Linked DNA regions of Arabidopsis thaliana. The protein of the gene in region 2 interacts with the protein of the main gene of each other region in a biochemical or structural test. Each region holds a gene or a part of one and is shown on either strand. Other genes may lie near its edges.

Region 1 (5,734 bases), about 18 Mb from region 2:
ATCGCCACCTCTTTGATCGGTCCCAAACTCGCTCAAGAACAAAGGAAAGCCTTGGTCGAGAACAAAACCGCCGGTACGACGCTCCTTAGAGAACATTTGGCTGCAAAAGTCGTTGACATTGTGTGACTTCCATTGACCAGTACCGTCAGTGAAAGAATACCAATGAAGCTCCAAGACAAGTTTTTTCTTGAAGCTAAGATTCACTGGACGATCTTTTAAGAAACTTAGGTCAGCATCGAAGTTAAGCCCTGAGAGTATGACCAGTACGTTAGGGTTTGATGTATGCACTGCTTCTGCTCCTTTTTGCATGTACCTACATGTGGAAAAATAATAATCATTTTTTCTATTTAAAAAAAGGTTAGAATCAAGTTAATTTATTATTTATATGCGTTGATTCTTGTTGTTAAATTGATGGACATTGGATTCCTATATTAACCAATATAAATATATATTTTTTAATGTACTTGTACTTAACTATTATTGTGGATTTAATTATGTATAGCACAACGGAATATAATCTGTTAAGATCTAAAATAGACAGATAATTAACGTGTATTAATTTCCTTGGCCTTCAAGCTTCACATGGGCGTTATGATAAATAAATGAAAATGGAATTTATAAATACGTACTTGTACCAATCTTTTGATGTATGATTGTAGCCTCTAAGTTCATTCCTCAGGCTCATACCAACAACGTTTTTCACGTTCATAAATATTGTGGCCATCTTCTTAAGACCCAACATCCATAGATCCGGGTTGAATTTTGGGTCGCCAAAGAACGCGTCCGGGTCATCGTTGCTACAACACCACCCCGGTACGGTCTTGTGGTTGTCAAGTATCACCATCACATCATGCCTCCCAAGACTATACACCACAGCCTACACAAACATGTTGCCTTGCGTTAGAAGATATCATATAGTAAAAACAAGAAGCATGTGAAATATATTTTTTTCATTACAACGATGATCAGATCTGAAAAGAAATGGAAAAATAATCATTATTGCAATATAAGATAAAACATGTTTTAGTCATATTTTTCAGTCACAAATGACTTATTTAAAAACCATGGATTTTTAATTGAACATGAAAAGAATAGTTTTTGTTTGAGTTGAAGAAATTATGTAATACTAGAATCACATGATTAATTATGTATTTATACCTGAAAGACATTGATGAGAGGAGTATTGACAATGTATGGATTGTGAGTGTAAATCCCTTGAAGCTCATGATCCAATCCATATCTCTCAAATGATTGTTTCACGGTAACATTAAAGGCTAAAGTGTCATTAATCATTAATTCAAGTGGCCAAGTGAGCCTAACACAATTGAATCCCATGTCTTTTATCTTTTTCGATATTGAATCCATTGGCTGGCTGCTCAGCCCCTCTGCTACCACTGGCTTGAGGTGCGAAGGCCAGTTCGCGCAAGCTAGCTTCACGCGGTGGCCCTTGTTGTTTACGATCCATCGAGACTTTGTGAATAGTGGATAATCTGTTGCTAGGGTTAGAGATATTAATGACAAGAATAAGAACAAAAAGACAGTTAAAGCGATTGCTTTTGCCATGCTTATTTCGTTGTGACTGTGTTTTAGGAAGATCATTAAGTATATATAGAGAGTGAAATCAAGGGTTTTTGTCACAATGATAGGGGATTTGTTGAGTTTCTTTTGTAAGATAATTGACTAAATATTTCAGGGTTGGTTACTTAGTTTGATGATAGGTTTCAAAATGTAAATAAATGAGATATTTACGGAACATTGTGGATAAATATCTTCTTACCACACGTTTTGGATAGTGTAGTTTTTTTTATTGTTCGAATAATTAAGAGGATAATTAGTCAATGGATCATCCGCCTAAAATGTCGAGAAAGTAACTTGGGTAACATTTCAAAACGTATCCGGCCATTAAATAGTCTCGTCATTTATTTGTTTCCCTCAAAATTGCCAATATATCAACGAACGAAGGGTAATATACTAATATATTTAGCTTGTGTATTCATTCGCTAAGTCATATAAAATTACTCGAAACTTTATTTTATACAGGATTATACATTATTTTCACAAAACGGAAAATAATAAGCCATTTGTACTTAGACCAACAAACTAATTCAAGAGTGAAATCTATTTTTATGTTCAGTTCTACTCTATTATAAAAATCTTCTATATATGTAACTATCATGTTTAAAATGATGTTTTTGGTATGGGGAATAAAATTCAATTTACACACATAAAGAAATGAAAACATAATAATAATAAGAAAGCAACGTAATGTTGTAGACGTCTGATACCTAATGTCGACTGCCGCCACATGTCGACCGTGAGGTTGGTCACGTTGTCTCCCTAACTGCAATACTTTGAGCTGTACTTCTATCGGGACCTCTATTTTCTTCTCAAACTTTTTTAAAAATTAGTATTATTTTATACCATTTCGGCAAACAAATTATTAGGAGATAGTATCATTTAAAAAAATAAATATCAAATTTTGTCAGTAAAATTATTACAGTATGTCACGTTAACTAGTTAAAATTTTGTTATAGAAACAAGATACTTGAAGAAAACGGGCTGTTACTTTCGGAGTTTACAAGTTCCATTTCTCGAGAAGAACTATTTGGGTTATCAATATAGGTCATATGATATGACTAATATCTACTGCAGCACCCAATTTAATAATTCTAGAAACTCTAAATTCAACATTTAGTGGGTATTAAAAAATAGTTTAATAGACTATGACAGTCCATTGGACCATTAAACAAAAACTACACGCCCTTATCAGAGCGACGAATTTTTTGTAACTTGGATCAGAAATTCAATAAAGTTATAGTAATAAAAATGAAATAATTTGGAAAAGAAAGAATAGAGAAGAAAACACATGCGAAATTATAATGGCCTGCCTCTCTTCCTTCTTATCTCTTTTACTTACACTCTCCAGGTCCCTCACTTCCCTCATTGGACCTCTCTAACTCTCCTCTCTTACCTTCTCCTGTTTAAATTCTTCTCCTTTCTTTCCACAATTTCTGTCTAACCAATTCCAACACCAAAAAATTCCATTTCTTGACGATGAAACGAAGCCATCAAGAAACGTCTGTAGAAGAAGAAGCTCCTTCAATGGTGGAGAAGTTAGAAAATGGTTGTGGTGGTGGTGGAGACGATAACATGGACGAGTTTCTTGCTGTTTTGGGTTACAAGGTTCGATCTTCAGACATGGCAGATGTTGCACAGAAGCTTGAACAGCTTGAAATGGTCTTGTCCAATGATATTGCCTCTTCTAGTAATGCCTTCAATGACACCGTTCATTACAATCCTTCTGATCTCTCCGGTTGGGCTCAGAGCATGCTCTCGGATCTTAATTACTACCCGGATCTTGACCCGAACCGGATTTGCGATCTGAGACCAATCACAGACGACGATGAGTGTTGCAGTAGCAATAGTAACAGCAACAAGAGGATTCGACTCGGTCCTTGGTGTGACTCAGTGACCAGCGAGTCAACTCGTTCCGTGGTGCTTATCGAGGAGACAGGAGTTAGACTCGTTCAGGCGCTAGTGGCCTGCGCCGAGGCGGTTCAGCTGGAGAATCTGAGCCTCGCGGATGCTCTCGTCAAGCGCGTGGGATTACTCGCGGCTTCTCAAGCCGGAGCCATGGGGAAAGTCGCTACCTACTTCGCCGAAGCCCTAGCTCGTCGAATTTACCGGATTCATCCTTCCGCCGCCGCCATTGATCCTTCCTTCGAAGAGATTCTTCAGATGAACTTCTACGACTCGTGTCCCTACCTGAAATTCGCTCATTTCACGGCCAATCAGGCGATTCTAGAAGCTGTTACGACGTCGCGTGTCGTACACGTAATCGATCTAGGGCTTAATCAAGGTATGCAATGGCCGGCGTTAATGCAAGCCTTAGCTCTCCGACCCGGTGGTCCACCGTCGTTTCGTCTCACCGGCGTTGGGAATCCGTCGAATCGAGAAGGGATTCAAGAGTTAGGTTGGAAGCTAGCTCAGCTGGCTCAAGCCATCGGCGTCGAATTCAAATTCAATGGTCTAACGACGGAGAGGTTATCCGATTTAGAACCGGATATGTTCGAGACCCGAACCGAATCGGAGACTCTAGTGGTTAATTCGGTTTTCGAGCTTCACCCGGTTTTATCCCAACCCGGTTCGATCGAAAAGCTGTTAGCGACGGTTAAGGCGGTTAAACCGGGTCTCGTAACAGTGGTGGAACAAGAAGCGAACCATAACGGTGACGTTTTCTTAGACCGGTTTAACGAAGCGCTTCACTATTACTCGAGCTTGTTCGACTCGCTCGAAGATGGTGTTGTGATACCGAGTCAAGACCGAGTCATGTCGGAGGTTTACTTAGGGAGACAGATATTGAACTTGGTGGCGACGGAAGGAAGCGATAGGATCGAGCGACACGAGACGCTGGCTCAGTGGCGAAAACGTATGGGATCCGCCGGGTTTGACCCGGTTAACCTCGGATCAGACGCGTTTAAGCAAGCGAGTTTGCTATTGGCGTTATCTGGCGGTGGAGATGGATACAGAGTGGAGGAGAACGACGGAAGCCTAATGCTTGCGTGGCAAACGAAACCTCTAATCGCTGCATCGGCGTGGAAACTAGCGGCGGAGTTGCGGCGGTAGATACGTCGTCATAAAGAGGAGAAGAAAAAAGACTTAGCGAACGTGACCTTATGTTTTTATTTTACTTTAACTTACCCCAGTAGTTTCGTTTTGTGACAATTTCGCCCGAAATATTCCGTGCCTTATACTTTTGGGACCCAGTTGGTTCGTTGGTCGTGGAGATTCGAGAACGAGGAACATGTGTGTATGTAACAACAGCACGAGCAAGTGTTTTCATAGTTTGAATAAATATGAAAGAAATGACGTTTATTTTATTTTTTGTCAACGAATTGACGTTACGTTTAATTTCACCCAAAATATATACAAAATGACGCATGAATGAATTTGGACCGACTCGATTATTACATAGAGGCTAACGTTTCTGGGAGATGATGATGATGATAGAAGTAAAGAAGCTAAACCTCACTTGAGTCTTTTTATTCTGAAAAGCCGGAGTCCAAACTCTACTTTTGGGTTTTTTGAGAGGTTTTCATTGTCAGCTTTTGATCAAGTGGGTGAAACCGTTTTGCTTAGGAATGTGTAAAAGAAAACTTGATATTTACTACTAATTTTATCACCACTTTTGAAAAATACATGTATTCATAGAAAGATATGATAAAGTTGGACCACATTCTCATTCTCTAAACTCACTTTAAACATGGCAATGTTTAAATATCCTCAAGTCTTGGAACATCTTCAGACTTACCATTTCTTGATTTTACCCGTAACAACACTTCAATATCTGAGTAGTCAAGACTAAACAATCCGAACAATATCAGCTTTTGATTTTATATAAATATAACTATATAAGACTTCCTAACAAAGAGGAACATGAGTCCCACAGCCACAGCATGTCGTAATCGATGGATGAGACGGCTGTGTAGGCATAGTTATTGGTTTCTCCGGCTAAGTCCTAACATGGACTTAGGAGAAAGTTTGAGGTGAGACCGAGAGGATAGGCGGAGAGGTTTACGTTAAAGAGAATGCATCCGCAATATATTTACTTTTTAAGTAATTCTAAAAATGTAGTTACTTTATTTTATATCAATGATTTAAAATGTATATGCGAGAAGCCTAAACCAAATAATGAACTTTAAGGAACAAAACAAATTATGAATGTTTTGGTTCT
Region 2 (7,566 bases):
TAGGGCTAATAATATAGAAGCTCACATCTAAAAACTAAAACCCGCTTATTATGATCTTATGATCACATATCTGATAAAATCTTTAGGCCACGTTTCGAAAGTACACACGATTTACTCCTAATTAGAGAGATTATAATATCAAACTATAGATTTCGTGGAAAACCAAAGAAGTAAAATCATTGGTCCGCTTGATTATGTATATCTATTTTCGAAGTTTTAAGAAAAAGATGAATAGAAAAGTTAATAACAAAGCAAATAATAAAACATGGAAATAGAGTATATGTAATAGACTAATAGTAGTTTTAACCTTTAAGCCTTTTCTCGTGCTAAAATCATGTAAGAATTCTTTTGACATTTTAACAAAAAAAATGTAAGAACATAAATAATGAGAGTCACGACAGCTTTTGCTTTAGTTAAGCACACGAGAAATCATCGATTGCAAGTTCATAGTTACTATCTCGCATCCTAACTAAAATGATACAAATGCATTGAGCCTATATCTCTTTTTTTCTTTGCCATAAAGTTATTTTTTATATACATATTGCAAGAGTAAATTCTAAGGTTGAAAGTGCTGTGCCTGTTATACGTAATTAATTCAGTTTTTTTTTTTTTTTTTCTTCCGTAATTAATTCAGTTTCAGTTTTCCTTTTTTTACATACTTTCAAACAAAGTAAAGGTAGTCAACGTTTAGTTGAAAATTTTAAAGTGTGATTGATAGCCAGTATAAAGCAAGATTTTTATCTTTTAATAGTACTAAGTTAAAATTTTAAATGACTCAAAGTAAACGCAGATATTATCACGTTTACTTTAAAACGCGTATTGACTTTGAATGACTTGAGTTTTTCTATTTTAGCAACTAGCAAGCATAACTTTGTATATTAGTTTAGTTTAGTTTTGTTTTGTTTTATCTCCTTACAAAATCGTATTACTTTTTTTTTTGTCGGACAAAATATAGTATTACGTACTAGTTCCTGCTGGAGATCCAAAACTTCTATTATCTACGCTTTTAGTTTATAGTCCAAGTTTTGAATTGTTTTTGTCCTATTAATTAAATCTTTAATGTTTTCATATAATCGAAAGATTTTCAAAACATATATAGACCATCATAATTTTTCTAACCCTATTAAATCATATCAGCTTCCATTTAAAACGTTGATATAATATTCATCTACTTCCACCTACTACTTGTTCTTAAAGTGTGTAACTATATATCACGTGAACTGAATTTTGCCATGAACATCTCATGAACGAGGTACCTAAAAATACATGTTCCTGTTATTCACTTTTGAATTTTGTTTCTAATATATATCACGGAGAAAATGTTGAATTCTGAAAAGTTGACATTTAACAAGAAATGTTGGTTAAAGACTTAAAGCCATGCTTCGAGATGCGACTTCAAATTTTTTTCGTATCACATATTTGTGTTAATGACATTTTTTGTTATCACTCGTTTACAAGTTATCTATATCAACAAAGGCAACAAAAAAAACAAAATAGAAAAAAAAAAAAATCACCTTATATACATGAATGGTGGATTTAGATGAAAAAATGGTTGTGAAAGGAAGTCGAGAATCTAAACTAATCTAATGGAAAATTTAAATAAAATGTTAAGTTTGTCTTATAAATGCATCTCATAGTATATGTTGCATACCACTCTCAATTAGAATAATGGTTCGAATAAAGAAAAAAACCAAATTATTTGCTTTAAAATTTATGTAAAAGAATATTAATTATTTTCTAAACAACAATATATAAGCAAAAAGTATAATTTTTGGTGCCTTTAAAGATGTGATTGTCATATTAAAAAGAAAATTTCCCTAAAGAATTAATGGTCTAATTATTTAGCTAGCTTGTACTCCAGACCAAACCTGTTCTTCTGATGGCTCAAACTTAAAAAAACTTAGGTGATAAATGCAACGAACCAACAGAAAAAAATCAATTTAACTCACATCCACAATTTTTTTTGGTTCATAATTACCACATCCACAATTATTATTATTACTTTTATTATACTCCCACAATATTTTTTTGCCGTATGTATGAAACATACCAATTTTTATAGAGAGGCAGAGATACGCGTACAGCTTTTATAATTGAAAAGGGCAAAAGTAAAGTAGTACTTATTATTCACTTCTTCTTCACCTTTTCTCTTTGAATTTTCTTCTTCACTCTGCAACTTCTCTTCCCCACCTTTCTATATTTACTATTTTCTATCTTCAATTTGTTGGATCCGAAAGTTCCTTCCTTTTTTGTTTTTATTATTCTTTATTCAAAAGCCAGTTTTTGTGATCCATTTGAAATCCCAATTTGTCTACTTCTCCCAATAATAACTCTTTTTATATCTCTTTTTTTCTTCCTTTACTTCAGAAAACAAGTCTACCTTCTTCTCTTCTTCTACCTTCTTCTCTTATAAAACCTATCTAAAGCCTTTTCATTTTTTTGGCCGGTGGGATATTGTTTGAATGAGTTCAACCAAAAATCTTATATATTCTTATCCTTTTTTTTCCCGATCAGAACTCAGTTCATAAAACTTGTCTGAATAATTTAAGAACCCAACTCAAAAGATTCAATTTTTCGTTTTTCCATTTTCCTTCAAAGTCTTAGCCTAATAAAAGATTCGATTTTTATACAATTATTTAATACCCACATATAATTGAAGAAAGAGAGACAGAGAGATAACACAAAAGTGGAAGTAAACGAAGAACGATGAGAGCTGGTTTAAGTACGATTCAACAGACTCTGACGCCGGAGGCTGCCACCGTTTTAAACCAATCAATCGCCGAAGCCGCGCGTCGTAATCACGGCCAAACCACTCCTCTCCACGTTGCAGCCACTCTTCTAGCTTCTCCTGCTGGGTTTCTCCGACGAGCTTGTATCCGATCTCACCCCAATTCTTCTCATCCTTTACAGTGTCGAGCCCTCGAGCTCTGCTTCAGCGTCGCCTTAGAGCGTCTCCCAACAGCTACAACCACTCCGGGGAATGATCCACCGATCTCAAACGCGCTTATGGCGGCGCTTAAACGAGCTCAAGCTCATCAACGCCGTGGTTGTCCGGAGCAACAACAGCAACCGTTGTTGGCCGTTAAAGTTGAGCTTGAACAGCTCATTATCTCGATTTTGGATGATCCGAGTGTTAGTCGGGTTATGAGAGAAGCTAGCTTTTCAAGTCCCGCCGTTAAAGCTACAATTGAACAGTCGTTGAATAATTCGGTTACTCCGACGCCGATTCCTAGTGTTTCTTCAGTCGGGTTGAATTTTAGACCCGGTGGTGGAGGTCCGATGACCCGGAATTCGTATCTTAATCCACGGTTACAACAGAACGCTTCGTCGGTACAATCAGGGGTGAGTAAGAACGATGATGTGGAGCGGGTTATGGATATATTGGGTCGGGCGAAGAAGAAAAACCCGGTTTTGGTTGGTGATTCGGAGCCGGGTCGGGTTATTCGTGAGATCCTTAAGAAAATTGAAGTCGGTGAAGTTGGGAATTTAGCGGTGAAGAACTCAAAGGTGGTTTCTTTAGAGGAGATTAGTTCCGATAAGGCTTTAAGAATTAAGGAATTAGATGGGTTGCTTCAGACCCGATTAAAGAATTCGGATCCTATTGGTGGCGGCGGAGTGATACTTGATCTTGGTGACTTGAAATGGCTAGTGGAGCAACCGAGTTCAACGCAACCGCCGGCTACGGTTGCGGTGGAGATTGGGAGGACGGCGGTGGTGGAGTTACGGAGGCTTTTGGAGAAGTTTGAAGGAAGACTCTGGTTTATAGGGACGGCGACGTGTGAGACTTATTTAAGATGTCAAGTTTATCATCCATCAGTGGAGACTGATTGGGATCTTCAAGCTGTGTCGGTGGCAGCTAAAGCTCCAGCGTCTGGCGTTTTCCCGAGGTGGGTTGTGTTAAAGTTTCTTCTTTTTGCTAAAGAAAAATCTCAGCTTTTATGATTTTTTTTCTTAGCCTAGATTCATGTTTTGATTCAGGCTTGCGAACAATTTGGAATCATTCACGCCATTGAAGAGCTTTGTGCCTGCGAATAGGACATTGAAATGTTGTCCACAGTGTTTACAGAGTTACGAGCGAGAACTTGCTGAGATTGATTCAGTGTCTTCTCCAGAGGTTAAATCTGAAGTAGCTCAGCCTAAACAGTTGCCACAGTGGCTGTTGAAAGCTAAACCGGTTGATCGTTTACCGGTAAGTTCCGGTTATTGAATCTTCTCTTCAACAATTGCAATGGCTTTATGATATGATTGCAGATCATAAATTTATCAGTTTTGTAATGTTTTTATTACAGCAAGCAAAGATTGAAGAAGTGCAGAAGAAATGGAATGATGCATGCGTGCGTCTTCATCCTAGCTTTCATAACAAGAACGAGAGGATTGTTCCGATCCCGGTTCCTATAACGTTGACAACGAGCCCTTACAGTCCTAACATGCTTCTTCGTCAGCCGTTGCAGCCTAAGTTACAGCCTAATAGAGAGTTGCGTGAGAGGGTACACTTGAAGCCTATGAGTCCTTTGGTGGCTGAGCAGGCCAAGAAGAAGAGTCCTCCCGGGAGCCCGGTTCAGACCGATCTTGTTCTTGGACGAGCAGAGGTTTGTTGATTTGAATGTTTGTATACTGTGATGAAAATGTTTATCTAATCGAAATCACAAACCTGACGCTAAATACTTGCGTTTGCGTATTTCAGGATTCGGAGAAAGCAGGAGATGTGCAAGTAAGAGACTTTCTCGGCTGCATATCGTCTGAATCAGTGCAGAACAATAATAACATCAGTGTTTTGCAAAAGGAGAATCTTGGGAATTCGTTAGACATTGATTTGTTTAAGAAGCTGTTGAAGGGAATGACCGAGAAAGTTTGGTGGCAGAATGATGCAGCCGCTGCGGTGGCTGCAACTGTTAGTCAGTGCAAGCTCGGGAATGGGAAACGACGCGGTGTTTTATCAAAGGGAGATGTCTGGTTACTTTTTTCAGGACCGGATAGAGTGGGGAAGAGAAAAATGGTGTCAGCTCTGTCTTCTCTTGTGTATGGGACGAATCCAATAATGATTCAGCTCGGGTCGAGACAAGATGCTGGAGATGGAAATTCTAGTTTCCGTGGTAAAACCGCGTTGGATAAGATTGCGGAAACTGTTAAGAGGAGTCCGTTCTCTGTTATCTTGCTTGAAGATATTGACGAAGCTGATATGTTGGTGCGTGGAAGCATAAAACAGGCAATGGATAGAGGCAGAATCCGTGACTCGCATGGCCGTGAGATCAGTTTAGGTAACGTGATCTTTGTTATGACAGCGAGCTGGCATTTCGCAGGGACGAAAACATCGTTCCTAGACAATGAAGCAAAACTACGAGATTTGGCTAGCGAAAGCTGGCGTTTGAGGTTGTGCATGCGGGAGAAATTTGGGAAACGACGAGCAAGTTGGCTGTGTAGCGACGAGGAGAGGCTGACGAAACCGAAGAAAGAACATGGATCGGGTTTATCTTTCGATCTGAACCAAGCCGCTGATACGGATGATGGTTCTCATAATACGAGCGATCTAACAACAGATAATGATCAAGACGAGCAAGGTTTTAGTGGAAAGCTGTCACTACAATGCGTTCCATTTGCATTCCACGATATGGTTAGCCGTGTAGATGATGCGGTAGCGTTTCGAGCAGTTGATTTCGCAGCTGTGAGACGGAGAATCACAGAAACATTATCTGAGAGATTCGAAACGATCATAGGCGAATCACTATCAGTAGAAGTCGAGGAAGAGGCACTTCAGAGAATCTTGAGTGGAGTGTGGTTAGGCCAAACAGAGTTAGAGGAATGGATTGAGAAAGCGATTGTTCCGGTGTTGAGCCAACTTAAGGCTCGAGTTTCGTCTTCTGGTACTTACGGTGACTGTACGGTTGCTCGGCTCGAGCTAGATGAAGATTCCGGTGAACGAAACGCCGGTGATTTACTGCCGACAACTATTACTTTGGCAGTATGAGAGTTGTAAAACAGAGATTGGAGTTTTGTTGTTACAGTGGACTGTGGAAAAGGGTAGAGATGTAAATATGTCTCAACTGGTTTTGGCGGGGGGAAAGGGAAACAGTTAGGGGTAAAAATAGTAAAAAAAAAGGTGTTTATAGTTCTTTACTTCTTTTTGTTTTACTCCACAGTCTAGATTTTTGTTGTGTTTTATGTATGGTAACGGGAGGGGTGATTTATGTAGCGATTATAGATATATTTATTTGATAGATAAATAATGAAAGATTAATAAAGTTAAAAGTATGTTTTTGTTTTCTCAGTTACAAGATTAATCTAAAGAAGTTCAAACAATTGCATTTTCTTTAGTCGTCGTGTATATTTGGGGACCATTTGATTTAAGAAGAAGTGTAAAAGCAGTTTTTAATGGCAGAAAGAAAATCTGTAACTACTTAGGTTCTTTTGCATTTGTCTATAGAGAACGAAAAAAATGTAAGAGAAAAAGACAAAAATGGAAAGAAAAAAGGCAAACAAAAAGTTTCCAAAAAAAGAAAGATAACACACTTTAAAAGTTGAAAGCTAAAGAAGATAACAAAAAATATTAAATTAAAACAAAGTTTGGTTCACTGAATGATGAACATTGCATGTGTTTCGTCATTTAATTATATAAATTCTTCAATTATTATTGCAATTTGACCTTTTCCTCGTACTCTTTTTTTCTTTTTGTTAATAATTAATTAATAACTAGTAGTATTAAATTATTACTTTATCCTTTAGAAGCCTTACCTGTTACAACTACAAAAAGGTATGACGCAAAAGTCTCCTAGATCCAATACTTTTTAACTAAAATGTATGAAATCTAACGTATAAAGTTGTATAAATGGCTAATTGTTTGTTTGCGTCGAGATAAAGGGGGAAAAGCTGTTGTATTGTGATGTCAAAATAATTAGTACTTTAATATAGTGGTTGGATAACACTAAACATAACCTTTTTGATCAATTAGGGTAGATTTAGATTTATCGAATGCATGAGAATTGTGAAATAATTAAATAATGTATGCCCAATAAATGTGAAAAAGATGGCAACTTGTAAGAAAATTGGAGGGTTTGCTATAAATTTATTGACGCGTTTGATTTGGACAACTCAACTTCTTGTAGAGAAGACTAAGCTGTCTTCTAGTTCAAAGCTTTCATGAAATATCTAATCTTTAAAACCACAATAGTGAATGATCCATGTGAAAAAATAATAATATAAAATTATATAATTGAGAAGATAATATAATGCTGATGTTAGAAAAAGAGAGTGTATATTAACATACAAAATTTTAAATTCAGTCATCACTAGACACAATTGTTGACCTGTACCTCATGGGTTTAATCCTGTGCATGATTGAGAAAAAAAGAAGCTAACCATTAAATTATATATAAGAATGGGCCTGAAGATAGCCCAATAAAGAGACCAAAAGAGTATGTATGTAATGTACGTAAATGATGTAAAAGTCTAAAAGAGTAAACTAGTAACTTGGTCTATTTCGAAAACAAATCGTTTAAGTAGCAAATTTGTTATGTAATTTACTTTAGTTTGGGATCAGTTTTAACAAAATTTGCTTGTAACTAAATCTTT
Region 3 (5,313 bases), on a different chromosome or scaffold from region 2:
ATTTTTGGGCTTTTTCTTCACATGCAAAAATTTTATATCAATAGAAAATTTGGTGTGTAGGACAATTAATGATGAAGTGACATCTTAACCTCTGAAGTGGTTTCGGTATTAATTTTAAGGACCTCAAAAATCAGTCAAAACCAAAGAGAAAAAGTCTCGTGTTTCTTTCCTAAATGACTGGTGTCGTGTTTAAGAACATTTGTAATTACATTCCATTTCTAGATATTGCTTTCCTTAAATGGTCCGAAATATGAGCCTAAAAAATTTAAACTTGCCAAGGTCAATACCATAGAAAGCGTTATACATTGACTTCATGCATGTACTTTTGCAGCTTTTAATCGCGGCTTCGACGCGTCATTAGTTCATTAAAAGATTTTTAAAATGACTAATTAAATTATCGTAAAAAGGTAATATCATAGAATTACACACACGAGAAACTTATATTAGGAGTTGGGTTAGGCCTCAAACTTCCCTTATTGGGCTTGGGTTTGGACTTCACAATTTAATCAAACCTAGAATGCACCATTATTGAAAAGAAAATACTTTCAACGAGTAAAACAAAATTTTAAAATGGTTGTAGTGTCGAAGAATGATGATGCCCATCAAATTAAAATCTCGTTTCCAAGAACATATTCTGAGGAAGGTTTTATTACCAAAACAATTCTGGTTATACTTGGAAAATTGTTACAAAATTGTGTAAGTAAGTTATAAGAAACAACATATAAAAGTTTTAGAAAGGTAAAAGTATTTGAAAATTTGTTAAAATTTATGAGGATTTATAATAGTTTCCCAAATTTATATATTCATATAAAGTTTCTAAAGACAAATTTATGTTTTGCGTCATTACGAATTCCTGATGAACAAACCTCTCTACCGACAGAAACTTATGAACTTATGTACAGTATAATTATGTCAGCTCATGCATATTTCTTCTAAAAGTAATAAAATTGGTAGTTGTTAAATTGATTACCAACAAAATGTTACCTACGAAAATCATTTTCTTAAAATGATGTCAACATGCGATAACAGGAATGCTCATATATTATTTGGCGGTGGGTACTAATTAAATCAACGTCAAAAGAGCACAAATACATTTTAAACACACCACTGTCCTCCTTAATTAAAGAGATAATGACCCTTTAACCAATCTATTTAAAGTCCATGGTCTTAGGATTATTCTCAAAAGAACTTGACTACTGGTTCGTGTCATGAAACATTTATCCATATCTATCAGACTATCACCTTATATATATCATTATTTCATCTCTTATTCAATTTTAATTTTATCGAAAACCAAAGATGAAATAGAAAAGACCTTTTTTACCTTAATGAGAACAAGTGATAAAAAATCATTTCATTGGCCTGACCCTGACGTAATAGTCTATTTATGCGAGGTCAAAATCTCGTGACAAGTGAACAAAATTTAGAATTCATAAAATTTGGAAAACGTGGGACTTTTTTTCTTTATCAGCAATGCAATAAAGTATATAGCACATTTTCACTTTTCCCATTATTTATTTTTATTCCACACGATTGATTCGCCACGCAGATGTTGCAATAAGCGGTCGCGTTTGCCATCCAAGCAACAAACAACCTTCATTCTCTTCCACATTATACCCATCAGCCCCGGCATAAAGTGCCAACAACATGCTTGCTTGCTTATACGCGTTCGAACCGATACTAACCGGTTTAAATCCTCCTAAACCGAACCGGTTTCTCCACTGATTTAAAGTCTCATGCCTCTCTACCCGGTCTTCTCCTTCGCATGCCACAAGGTTTAGTATCTGCCGTCCTAGGAATAACTCCGACATCACTCGGTCTTGGCTTGGCGGGCCCTCGAGCGAGTCGAATAAGCTCGAATAGTAATGTAGCGATTCCGTGAACCGATCGAGAAATACGGTACCGTTATGGTTTGCTTCTTGCTCGACCACAGTCATTATATCCGGTCGGATTGATTTGATTGTCGATAAAAACTTATCGATGGAACCGGGATGAGCTAAGAGGCGATGAAGCTCGAAGACCGAGTTAACCGCCACTGATTCTAAACCGGGTCTAATGTCTAGCATTTCCGGTTTAAGATCAGACAAATTGTTTAAAGCAATGCTCTTGAATTCGAAATTGACACCAATAGTACTCGCAAGCTGACCAAGTTTCCAACCAACTTCTTGAATATCGGTTAACGAATAACCGATCCCGGTTAACCGAAAATCCGGTGGACCATTAGGACGTAAAGCAAGAGCTTGAATCAAAGCCGGCCATTGTAAACCATGGTTAAGTCCTAAATCAATAACATGAACCTTCTCCGCCGTAGCAAAAACCTCAAGTATCGCTTGATTCGCCGTAAAATGCGCAAACTTGAGATACGGACAAGACTCATAGAAATGAATCTGAAGAGTGTCCGAAAACGAAGACAACGCGACATCGTCTCGAGGGTAAATACGGTAAATCCTTCTCGCAAGCCCTTCAGCGAAGTAAGTCGCGACTTTCCTCATAGCACCAGCTTGAGAGGACGCGAGTAACCCCACGTGCTTCACGAGCGCGTCGGCTAACTTCAAATTGTTCTGTTGAACAGCTTCAGCACAAGCTAATAGCGCGTGGACTAAACGCACTCCAGTTTCTTGAGAATCCAAAACCACCACAGAGCGCGTAGAGGATAACTCCGATTCAATTCTCGTCCTCTTGCTCCGACGAGTCACGTGCTCGTCACGTGGATACACTGCAGAGCCAGGAATAGCTCTAAGATCGTACTCTGAGTCAGGCTTTTCTTGAATCCGGGTCGGGTCAAGATCCGAGAGCATGCTTTCGACCCAACCAGAGAGATCAGAAGGATTGTAATGAACAGTTTCATCAGAAAGATTCGAGATTCCATCACCAAGAACCATCTCTAACTGTTCAAGCTTGTGTGCCACGTCAGCCATGTCGGATGATCGAACTTTGTAACCTAAAACAACCAAAAGCTCGTCAACTCCGGCAGCTTCTTCTTTAATCACCGTCGTCATTGATGAACTCCCACCTTCTCCGGCGGATGATTCACGGTGGTTGTGCTCTCTCTTCATTAAAATTGATTTGCAAGATTTTGTAAGATGAGAAGAAAGAGAAGAATAAGAGAAAAGATTAGGAACACGGGAGTGTCATAATAATTGAAGAAGAAGAAAGAAAAATAAAATTCTATTTTTAAATAATGATATGATTTTTTTTTATAATGTATGATTATTATTATATAGAAAAATAAAATAACATTTGGGGTTTCGAGCTAGCTTTTAATTGGAGTATATGAAATTTAGTACCGGCAAGTTCTTAAAAGCAAGAGCAGAGCCGTGGTACAACCGCAATCTAAAGCAATTATAAAAGGAAATTTATTTACCTATTTTATTTTCCTCTTTATATAATATACAGTAAATAATAGTAGATTCCTTTCTCTTCTTTTTCTGCGAATAAATTTTAATTTTCAAAATATGCTTCTCGAGAAAATTCAGTTTGATTGATGTAAACCTGACATCATTATTTGAACGAGATATTCTATAATCTATGCTATGTCATAATTATTTTGATTAAAAACTATAACAACTTGTTTTTGATATTTGATTATTTTGTGATTTTGATTATTTGATGAAGACTAGGTGTAATATTAAATAACGGTTATGATTTGGAAGTTGTATTGTAGAGAAACATTTAGGTTAAAAGTCCAATTTCTAAAGCCAACCACCACCCTTTTTTCAACTACAAAAACATACATTTCATTTTTATAGTTTTTGGTGATTAGGAGATTTACTTTTTATGTGTTGTGTTGTGATTATTGTTCAAACTTTTATATCATCTTCATAAATGAGAATAAATAAAGAAATTCATTATGTTCATAAGAAAATATATTAAACTATAAATTTCAGGGAAATCTTGTTTAGTTTTCTGTTTTTATATTATCGGGTGATTAATCTTTAGGTGATGTAATGAATTCTATTTTTACCAATTCCTCCATTTCATATAGAATAATGTTTGAAAGTTGTTTTTTTTTTTGCATAATGATGGCATTGTACGTTTCACATTTCGAATGTAGATTTTCAAACCGTATTACTAATACAAAAATTGAATTTATATCATCGCCATTCAATTGTAGTATTATGATTGTGGTCATATTTGTATATGTTTTATTATTTTTAATTGACTAAAAACGTAATTTAGTGATTTGTGCTAGTGTGCAAGAGCTGATGTGACACCGTCGAAGTTCAAACTCATATGCATGTTGTTGTTGATACAAAAAAAAATTGGTAATCGGAAAATACATGAAATCTAGCTATTCTTGTAAGCGTCGTTGTGAAATTATCACTCGAATTCGAATCACCTTTGTAACAATAAATATTTCTTACTTTTTTTGTAGGATTGGCGCTCTTCCTCAAAGAAATGACTATCAAGTAGTGTAAGCATAAGAGATTGACAAAACAAAGCAAAAGATGTTTTATGTAAAATATTTGCATATATTTTTAGTTGCGAAAAAAAATTACAACTAACGTGCAAAAATGTCTTTTGCAAAAATAATTAAGTTGACTTAAGAACTGTCGTCAAAATAACCCAACAAGAATATATAATAATATCATTCTATATTCTTATTAGCGATATTAGTATTATATATTTTTGTGTTGTAATACGCATTTTTATTATATACTTGTGTTTTAGACATGTTCAAAAGGCGATAGATGGAGAATAAATAAAATACTGTGTGGTTACGACCATTATTAGATGTGGAGCTCTTTCGGTATGAGCTTTAAGAAAGATACATGCAATCATAAAACATTTTTAAGCTTCCCCATATGCATAACCATTTTTCATAGTTCTACAATGACCCTTTTCACATAATGCATATCCTCATTTCGAACCAAGATTGTTACTTTGATTGATTAGGTTATACTGTTAGATGTTGATGTCTAGGTCCAAATATTTTTGATAGTTTCTTTAATTTCTTTGCTATTAATAGTAGACTAGACTTGATCATTATGATAGTTAGGAGACTTTTCCTCAAAACATGTATGTAAAAATGTCTAAACAATGATAATTAAAATTAAGGTTCTATTTTAGTTTAGTAGGTTTTGTTTACTAATACTTGTTGGAAAGTATGATGATTTACAAGGATGATTAGTGCCTTGAAAGAGAAATAGTCATAATTAAGTGACTATATTCTATGACATTGTTTAATTCAACAGTTTTCATCAGTATTATTCGTTCTTTTTAATTTCGAATCGTTTGGTACCTTCGGTTATTGGTTGGTAAGAACTTAGTAGTCTACTTGCTCTTTTTATCATCACCAATACATTAAGGGAA

Evidence for each region.
Region 1: the proteins of AT5G57710 (region 2) and RGL3 form a complex in vitro, tested with the Arabidopsis thaliana proteins (one study listed by BioGRID).
Region 3: the proteins of AT5G57710 (region 2) and RGL1 form a complex in vitro, tested with the Arabidopsis thaliana proteins (one study listed by BioGRID).

What each region holds. Positions count from the first base shown.
Region 1 is NC_003076.8:5,763,208-5,768,941, reverse strand, and holds RGL3 (RGA-like protein 3), read left to right. Parts: upstream 1-2,695; 5' UTR 2,696-3,054; coding exon 3,055-4,626; 3' UTR 4,627-4,953; downstream 4,954-5,734. Other genes in the region: AT5G17500 (Glycosyl hydrolase superfamily protein), read right to left, coding at 1-313, 630-877, 1,159-1,563. UniProt on the Arabidopsis thaliana protein: Probable transcriptional regulator that acts as a repressor of the gibberellin (GA) signaling pathway. No effect of the BOI proteins on its stability.
Region 2 is NC_003076.8:23,382,088-23,389,653, forward strand, and holds AT5G57710 (Double Clp-N motif-containing P-loop nucleoside triphosphate hydrolases superfamily protein), read left to right. Parts: upstream 1-2,167; 5' UTR 2,168-2,706; coding exon 2,707-3,887; intron 3,888-3,978; coding exon 3,979-4,189; intron 4,190-4,289; coding exon 4,290-4,589; intron 4,590-4,684; coding exon 4,685-5,965; 3' UTR 5,966-6,378; downstream 6,379-7,566. UniProt on the Arabidopsis thaliana protein: Probable component of a transcriptional corepressor complex that acts downstream of MAX2 to negatively regulate karrikins/strigolactone responses. Probable target of MAX2 during germination and seedling photomorphogenesis.
Region 3 is NC_003070.9:24,746,070-24,751,382, reverse strand, and holds RGL1 (RGA-like 1), read right to left. Parts: upstream 3,279-5,313; 5' UTR 3,057-3,278; coding exon 1,521-3,056; 3' UTR 1,197-1,520; downstream 1-1,196. UniProt on the Arabidopsis thaliana protein: Probable transcriptional regulator that acts as a repressor of the gibberellin (GA) signaling pathway. No effect of the BOI proteins on its stability.